Schizosaccharomyces pombe: one gene and its partner. Changing the gene in region 1 together with any one later gene gives a genetic interaction. Each region holds a gene or a part of one and is shown on either strand. Other genes may lie near its edges.

Region 1 (4,099 bases):
CAGCTATTGACGTATGTAAATTCCCCATGATTGTATATTAAATTCAGGTATGTGAATTCAACTTTCTTTATTAAATTTATCGAGAAGAATTATTGAGTCAAAATGTCCTAACAAACTAACTCATACACATTTAGAGATGTTATAATTATTAATTATTGGAGGAAAGACACGAGAAGAAATAAAATTTATGCAAAGAGGGATATTCCTTGCTTTAGCCTGGTTTTCGAGTTATTAGGATATTTTCAAAATTTCCTGCTTAAAATTATAGTTGACACAATAGGGAAGTAAAACAAAGAAAATCATACTCATATTGTATTACTTAAGTTTTGACTTCTTTTCTTTGTATTGGCTCTAATAGTTGCTAAAAGTTGTATTATATTAATGTAGTAAACCTCGATATAACAAAGAATTCAAATACTCTGTCATTAATCAATTTGCAAGTTATGAATTATTAAAAAAGAACTCTTTCTCAGTTTTGTCTAAACATATCCGATTACAAACTGATATCAACTTGTTTTGCAAATAATGAGCCAAATACTGATGTCTAACTCACAAAGGAGAAGTCCCGGTGTATGAGTTGAACAGATAACTTCATATTATTCAAAAATTCAAAGAATAAATGCATATACTAGTTCTCTAAATTGCTAAAGAATTTGTTCCTAAATTCGTCAAATTTACAACAATCCAAAATTCTGTATTCATGAATCCAATACTTATCTATGTGACTTTGGTATTAATAATCAGTTTAAGGCAACTCGCGAACAGCATGGTTAAATGCCTGTGCAACATGCTCTACATTAGAATTGTTCAAACCAGCCATAGAAATACGACCATTTGCACTGAAATAAAGATGGTACCGCTCCTGGCAAAATTGGACTTGTGCAGGCGTTAAACCGGTAAAAGAAAACATTCCAATTTGTTGTGTAATATGATCCCAAGAACCGGGGGTTTTGAGTGCAACAAGAGAATCGCGAAGACGTTTCCTCATCTCAATGATTCTAGAAGACATAGTCTTTAAATCTTGTTCCCATTCAGCAAACAATTGAGGACTGTTAAGAATTTCGGCAGCAATACGTGCACCGTAAGCGGGAGGGTTAGAAATGGTGTTACGTTGAACAATACACAATTGAGATAAGACCTTGTTTTTAGTGGAAGCGTCCTTTGCAACGTAATGCATGCAACCAGTACGTTCACCATAAAGACCCATATTTTTAGCAAATGACTGACAAACGAAAAAGTCCTTGTTATATTTGACAAACTCGTTTAGAGCCCAAGAGTCACGATTCAGATCACCACTGGCAAAACCTTGATAAGCAATGTCAAAAACTACCAGATGCTTGCGAGAAAGCAGACTCTCGAATATAGAAAGCCATTGTTCCCTAGTGGGGTCAATACCAGTAGGATTGTGAGCACAAGCATGAAGTAAAAATATACTTCCTTCGGGAGCAGATTTAATGGTACTTAGCATGCCTTCGTAATCAAAAGATCTATTCTTGGCATCCCAATAAGGATATGTATCTACAGTGACTCCCAATTTTTCCCACAAAGTGCGATGGACAGGCCAAGTAGGGTTGGAGATGTATACATGGGCTCCAGTGTGCTTTACATAGAAAGTCTCAATGAAACTAGCAGCAAGAAAATTGGCACCAGTACCAGAGACTGACTGCATAGATGCAACACGGTCCTCGGACAATAAATGAGGATTGGGTCTGAAAAGAACTTCAGCCGCAGCCTTAGTGAAACGAGGCAATCCAGCAATTGGTAAATATTCATGGTTGAAGCTTGCCTGTTCTTCCACTATTTTAGATGCTTTTTTAACTGCAGGCAAAATCCAAGGCTTACCAGTATCGTCACGATAGGCGCCAACACTCATGTTAACCTTCTTGGGATCTTCATCCTGATGGTATTGAGCATTTAATTTAAAAATTGCATCTGCCTTAGCTTCCTCAATATTTGCAAACCCGTAGTCTGACATTGTGGTTAAATATGCGGTAGGTAGATTTCAACCTTACTGATCTACTATATATATATATTTATCACTCGGTTTAGTATCACTATATTATCAGTATACTTCATTGACATATAAGATACCGAGCTTGATGTACTGTAATAGTGAATAACGATACAAAGTTTGACTCGTATAGGGAGGAGCTTAACTTTTACAAGGAGGAGCTCTGAAGTGTCTTATCGAGAAAAGTAGGCAATATGTGAAGTTATATTATTATGGTCAAAGATTGGCTTTCCATAAAGAAAAGTAATCTTTACTATAAATATCATTTTTTATCATTAGTAAGTTCAGGCAACCGAAAATTTCCAGGGTAAAATAAATGTTGAAAGACCCAAAAAATAGGCGACAACAGCCGTTGATACCAAGTTGGACTAGGTTTGTCGGTAGTGTATTTATCAGCAACCTTGGCCATAACAGCTATACTATTCACTGGATACCCAAAATTTTGGTTATTTTTTTGAATAAGCATTAAGCAGCGACCTAGCATTAACAGCTCTTTCGGTAAACGAGTGCAGTCCTGTAAGAAGCCAATGAACTTTTTGCGTTCAGCAAGCTGCTGTTGGAAGGCCTCTTTCTTTGAAATAATTTTTTCACCAGTGTGAGGTTGCTCTTCATCCATTGGAATATTTAACATGCGGTTAGCAAAAAGCTCAGGTTGTCCAATCCCCCAAGCATCCATTACCTGAAGAATAGATTTTTTGTCTAATGAATAGGCTGCAGTGAAAAGCAAGGCAAATTCTTTTCTAAACTTTTCTGATTCAAATACATATAACCCATGATCCAAAATTACCGTTTGACACAAGCCTGCTTGATTTTTTCGAACAAGGATATTTCCAGGATGTGGATCACAATGAACTTGTTTCGAATGAAACATTTGGAAGGCAAGGAATCTGAAAAGGTTCGTTAAAATTTCCTTTTTGCTCATCCCAGCTTCAGAAAGAGCAGTTTGATCATAGAGGGGAATGCCATCAGCCCATTCAGTAACCATTACTCGCTTTCCAGAAATCTCTTTATAAACCTTTGGTATATATATCTTATCTCTTAAATAATCAGTTTCTTCTACCCCTTCACGAGCATGTTCCGAATTGTTAGCTTCAGTTGTAAAATCAACCTCAGAACGTAATCTTTCCGAGACATAATCAACCGTAAAGTAGAGAGGGATATGAAATATCCATTTATCATAAACATACATCATGTATTTGTACACGAGAAGATCCCACGACATTTGCTTAGCAACATCTGGTTTTTGAATTTTTACCGCGACCTTTTCACCGCTAGGTAAAACAGCACGATGTACCTGCGCAATACTGGCACTTGCAGCAGCACGTTTCTCAATGCTGGCAAATACTTCCTCTACTGGTCTTCCATATTGCTCTTTGAATATGTCTTGAAGTTCTTCCCATTCAACTTGAGGTGCATTGTCAAACATTCCCTGAAAGGCTTTCCCATACGCTTCAGGCAAATTATTTGATTGCATAGCAATGATTTGACCCATCTTGATGTATAAACCGCCATTTTTGTAAATCGTTTTAAACAGTCTCTGTGCTACTCTTTGGTGCAAAGCATCAATTTTGTCTGCCTTTTTTTCGCTGAAATTCAACTTATAGTCAGCCGCAATTATAGAAGCGGTGTATACTGTTCTAATACTACGGGTAAGTGCATGGGCATTATACACTCGATCCCAAGCGTAGACACCTATTCCAGCAGCACCAACAAATACGAACCTCTTCATCCATTTACGTTTGTTACCAGGAACTCCATGATTTTGCAATGCTTGACTGTTATAACGTACATCAGCATATGTCTTTGATCGCTTAATGAAGCGACTGGTAGTTTTCTGCAGTAGAGAAATTGTTCTCCACGAAGTCAACATCTCTACGGGATGAAGGCTTTGAAGAAGACGAATTTGAGCAGAAGTAAACTAAGTTCAACACTTTGGATTCAAGGAAGGTAGTAAAGGGACTATCATAAATAGATCAAGTTGGCGCTGTGTCCTTTCAACATTCTCAACTTTCTGACCTAAGGCAGCCATTGAAATGCATTCTCCCATTTAGCGTATCATACTTTTGATAAATTAACTGAAGATAACGT
Region 2 (5,522 bases), 2.9 Mb from region 1:
TAGTTCCGTACTCACGAAATTACTATTAGAAAAATTGTGCGAAGCGATCCTAGAGCACTAACGACGAAGAGGAACATGAGAGCGGAGGTTTTGCAGATACGATGGCATTATGATGCTAATGATGATCACACACCTATTTATTCAGTTGATTTTCAAAAGAACAGTCTTAATAAATTTGCTACATGTGGAGGAGACAGTAAAATCAGGGTAATGATTTGACATAAAACTATTTTTGCTTCAACTATTGTTTGTTGTAGTTTAAAAAAAAGAAAGAAAATTCCTTCAATTATACTAATATCCAGATATGGCAATTGATCACTTCGGAATCATCCACAAAAGTCGAATATTTGTCTACGTTAAGTCGACACACGCAAGCAGTGAACGTCGTTCGTTTCAATCCAGAAGGTATTCGCTAATAATTTTTTCCAATGCTCACATTAAAATAGGAAATATTCTTGCTACCGCCGGAGATGAAGGAACTATTATGTTATGGGTTCCAACTAACACTCCTATAACAACTTTGGCTGATGATGCGGAAGAGTTGGCTCTAGCTAAAGAATATTGGAAGGTCAAAATAGTTTGTAGGTCGATGGGTTCAGAAATATATGATTTATGCTGGTCGGTTGACAGTAATTTTCTTATTGCCGGCGCCATGGATAATAGTCTTCGGTTGTACGATGCTCACACAGGTATGAATTGGCAGTTGTTGTTATTGGCAATATTTTTTTTTAAATTAAAATTACTGACTAAGAAGGGCAACTGCTTACTCAAAAATTCGACCATTCACATTACGTTCAAGGGGTATGTTGGGATCCTTTGAATCAATACATCGTTTCGGAAAGTAGTGATCGTTCTATATGTTTATACGAAATTCAAGAGGAAAAAAAGAATCCGAAAAAATTCCAACTCGTTTTAAAATCGCGCATCTGTCGTATTGAGTATAATGTAACTAAATTCGAATTAATATCTGTTACGAAGCCCTTAAATAATGATGAATCATCGGGGATATCAGAACCTATCGAAACTTCTAATAATAATGAGTCTCCCGTATCTAAGCACGAAGCTCTCTCATCAACTGCAAACATAGTCAAAGATGGAAGCTTAGAGCGAACAGAGCCTCCAAATTCTCTCAATTCAAAAATCAGTTACTCTTTGTACTGCAATGAAACTCTTGTTTCTTTTTTTCGTCGTCCAGCATTCTCCCCTGACGGATTACTACTAGTTACGCCTGCTGGTCGGCTTCGACCGCACGGTCAACCAAACTTTGAAGTTCCCTATACTGCTTATATTTATACAAGAGGGAGTATAACCAAACAGCCAGTAGCTTGTCTTAATGGATTCAAAAAACCAGTTATTGCGGTTCGTTTTTCTCCAATTCATTATGAATTGAACTCATTCTCTAACTTCTCTTTTACTTCTGTCTCTTTTAATCTTCCTTATCGAATGGTATTTGCTGTGGCATGTCAAGATGCTGTTTATATTTATGATACGCAAACTTGCAAACCATTTTATCGTGCAGTAAATTTACATTACTCTAACCTTACAGACATAGCTTGGAATGATGATGGAAATGTTTTGTTAATGACTTCTATAGATGGTTTTTGTTCTGTAATTACCTTTGAACCTGGAGAATTGGGTGTCAAAAGTCAACACAAAATTTCTTTGCCGGAGAAACGATCAGCTTCACCCTCTAGTATTGATGATTCACAAGACAATACGGCTGGGGGACCAGCTACTACAACACTAATTCCCAGAAAAGTTGAATCTTCAAAAGTATCAAAGAAGCGTATTGCACCTACCCCCGTTTATCCATAATTTCATGTTTATGAAAAAAGTTCTACTTCGACAATACGCTTTGATTTTTGGAGTAAAAATCTCGTACTTCTTGTTTTGTACTAGTAACTTTAAAGAACCTTTTATTTTTTTAAAAAAAAAAAAGAAGGCAAAACTGTACATTCTACTTTGGATGTAATCATTCGGTAATTTGCTTAGATATAAGCACAATTAAATTCATTACAATTGTTAAGATAAATATATAAAAAGCAAATAATACTTCTAATCGTTTGTACTTTTTGTCTACTTAAGACTATAAAACTAATATGTAACTTTTCTGTAAGTATAAAATACGTATTGAGGAACCCTCTTACACATAACATCACCACCATTCTATAGGAATTGCATCTTATACATTACTCATTGCATAGATTAAATTGCTAATAATCTACTTTTATTAAAAAAAGATTTAATCAGCTCATTTTCACGCTAGTTTTCCAAATTTACTGAAGTCTCATATTTTTTGCAAATATCTTCAAGTTTTGTTCATGAATGGTCGCCATTAACGACTCTACGGATTCTTCGTTTTTTAAAGAAAATCCTAAAATATTTAAGGATGAGCATGAGTTGTTGAGGTATATCGTTCCTTTCAAAAATTGGGTAATTGGAAGACCCGACAGAAAAGAATATGCAATTCGCAATGGAGCTCCAAAGCTGTTGCTTAATTTATTTTCCTTAGAAAATTTATCCATGAATGAAAAATATCAAGTTTTTGTTGTTTTAAACTCCTTGATGAGTGAGGACCAGGACCCTTTCGTTCAATTTTTACGACACGAGGATCTTCTTTCCGTTATGCAAATGATTTCGAAAAGGGATAGTACACCATATGGAATGCTGAATATCACCCTTAAAGTTTTTAACACAATGCTGAGTTTTGACAAAGCAGCAGAATATGTCACTCAGTTACATTCGGACTCTATAATTAATCAAATGTTTGACTTGTATACTTTACCCTTGAAAGAACAACCTTCTCTTGATGTGTTGCGTATCTCAAATTTATCTTCTAAGATTTTGCATCGTCTTATCCTTTATAACTCTAAAGTTGGAGACTCTCCACGATTCTGTTCTGCTTTATTTCAAATCACTAACAGAGCTACCCAATTGCGCTTGTATTCCAGAAGAAGATTTTGGAATGATTGCTCTATCTTAATTACTAACTCCCTGGGTACTTTGAATGCTTATTTAAAACAGCATGTGAAGTCTTATAAACAAAGAGAGAAAACCCGGCTAGAATCAAATGGTCACGTTTCGCCTCGCGATATGGATTTAGATGAAATTGAAAATGTTTTTGAGGGAAACAAGGATAAGGTCGCCTTATTTAAATCAGAGATATTTGGGCCTAATGGTGATGAATATATTACTCAGTTATTCTGTCTCGTTAGACAGTTTGATCCTTGTATTCGCTTGCTCTCAATTTCTTGTTTAGTGACCCTATACAAGGCAGGCATCCTTTCTAAAAATCAAACTAAGGAGATTCAAATGATAGTAACTCCCATTCTCATCCGTTTATTTTTTGAATCTCGAGAAGCAAAACAAATCGCTCCTCGTATTCTCGCCATCATAATCAATGAAAACGAAATTATGCAAAAGACGGCTGTAAATGCAGGTTTTATTGATGCTGCCAAATATCTTCTAGAATACGCAACTAAAGAAGAAGAGAATGAAATTAATTTTTTATCCGATGAATTGCAATCCAGCGTTTGTTTTAATCTTCCTGCTACCAAAAAGGAGCAAAAAAACCTAATCTTAGAATCAGTTTTGCTAGCCGTTGCTGCATTAACAACTTCTAAAGATGAATACAGAAAACTAATAGTTGATGCTAAATATTTGCCTGTTATCATTAATGCTTTGAAAATCAATTCTAACAGCGTGAAAAAGGCTGCTTGTGAATGCTTATTAAGTCTCTCGAGAAGCGTTTACATTTTACGTACGGGCCTTGCCGATGCAGACGTGAGCGAACCATTAATAAAGTTGCTTTCTGACCCGGATACTAGAGTCAAATCGACTGCTACGTCTGCCATTTGTAACTTGGTACTTAAGTTTTCTCCTTTGAGAGAGAAATTCCTTACTACAAATTTCATTGATACTTTGATATCAAATATTAGTACGAAAGATAGCAGTCTAAGAAAGAAGACCGTGTGGGTTCTGCGGCATGTTGTATTTGGTGATGATGAGACGATCCAGCTTGAACCTTTAAAAAAGATCGGTGCTTCAAAGCTTGTGGAACTTTGCAATGACGAAGATCTGGGGGTCCAAGAGCAAATGTTGCAAGTGCTGCGAAATTTTACATGTCAGAAAGAAGAAAGCGTGGATTTTCTTTTGAAAATGGTTCCTATGGAGTTGTTAGCAAAAATTTTGCTTGAAAAATTAGAAAGTAAAAATCCTATCCTAATTGAACCCAGTATTTACATTTTGGTGCACATCGCTGCCAGCGATGGTGAGCTTAGGGATTCTATCCTAAGGCAAACCAAACTACTACTATTGGTGAAGGAAATTATGCTACAAGAAGCACAACGTCTCAAGCCCGAGCAAATGTCCACAAATGTGTCATCTCCGGAAAGTGACAGTGAAATGGATTTGCAAGAAGATGATTTTGATAGGGAAATGCGTCCTCCTTTCGATATTTATGAAGAGGACACTTATGAACCAAACTCCGAAATTCTGTTGGCCGGAATTTGGCTCTGTATTAACATTCTATGGCCCAAACAATGTACATCTCCAAGCCAGGAAGATAAGGAAAGAGCAAGTATCTTACAAAATCTCGGATTTGGAGAATGTTTGCAGATGCTACAAAATCACTCATCTCCTGATGTAAGGGAACGTGTCAAAGATGCCTTGATGTACATCAATGTAACCGATTAATTTCTATTACGCTTTTCCGTTGTCTTTGCCGACTTGATTGGAACAGTCTAACAAATCGGAGCCATTTTCGCATTTAGTATTTCTGTATGTATAAATGTGTGCACAACTCTTGCAGCTGAAGTTAACAGGTTGTTGGATTGAAGTACTTTGAGAATGATCGTATATAAAAAGATTTAATGATTTATCAAAACGAATAAAATAAGTATTATGAACATTCAACTTATATGTATGCGGGATAGTGTAAAAACCTATTTAACATTGTAAAAATTTTTTAAGGAAAGTTGTACTTTGACAAGAACAATTTCATTTACATGTATTCTACTAAATTTATCAGAATGTTGGGAATTTTTTTGTTGGTATATAATGCCGAAAGGAAATTAATCGAATATGAAGAAAGTGGCGGAACTAAAAAACAAAACCCACAAACTAATTATTTAAATAAATATAACATAATAACTTGTTAAAATAAGAGTAATACTAGAGAATGTGTGCTCAAGTGGAAAGCATGTAATACTTGCACAACGTGATGGAAGAGATTAGTGTAGTAGCGCAGCGACAGCTTCCAACAACCAACTAATCGAGGAGGAAAGCAAAAGTGAGAATTGAAAAGAAGTAGTACATTAAAGACCTTTAAATTCTTTGAAAGAATTGCCTTTATAAAGGTAGTCTATTGCATTTCAAAGTACTCTCAAGATGAATTTAGAATTTTCTTTTGGAAATTTGATCGCCAAAAATACCGAGAATTCGACTAAGGAAGAAGGAACTTGGGAAGTAAACAAGCTCATGAAATTTAGTTCAGAGGAGGGGAGGTCTTCCTCTGATGATTA

The links.
Region 2: mutations in caa1 (region 1) and gid5 together harm fitness more than expected from each alone (negative genetic interaction), as found in Schizosaccharomyces pombe (one large-scale study listed by BioGRID).

What each region holds. Positions count from the first base shown.
Region 1 is NC_003424.3:1,230,043-1,234,141, forward strand, and holds caa1 (aspartate aminotransferase), read right to left. Parts: upstream 1,998-4,099; 5' UTR 1,976-1,997; coding exon 746-1,975; 3' UTR 598-745; downstream 1-597. Other genes in the region: protein-S isoprenylcysteine O-methyltransferase Mam4, read right to left, coding at 1-28; SPOM_SPAC10F6.14C (ABC1 kinase family protein), read right to left, coding at 2,274-3,881. UniProt on the Schizosaccharomyces pombe protein: Plays a key role in amino acid metabolism.
Region 2 is NC_003424.3:4,119,824-4,125,345, forward strand, and holds gid5 (protein Gid5), read left to right. Parts: upstream 1-2,149; 5' UTR 2,150-2,325; coding exon 2,326-4,695; 3' UTR 4,696-4,914; downstream 4,915-5,522. Other genes in the region: CAF assembly factor complex subunit B Pcf2, read left to right, coding at 76-207, 303-405, 447-689, 755-1,815; mga2 (IPT/TIG ankyrin repeat-containing transcription regulator), read left to right, coding at 5,389-5,522. UniProt on the Schizosaccharomyces pombe protein: Component of the GID E3 ligase complex recruiting N termini and catalyzing ubiquitination of proteins targeted for degradation.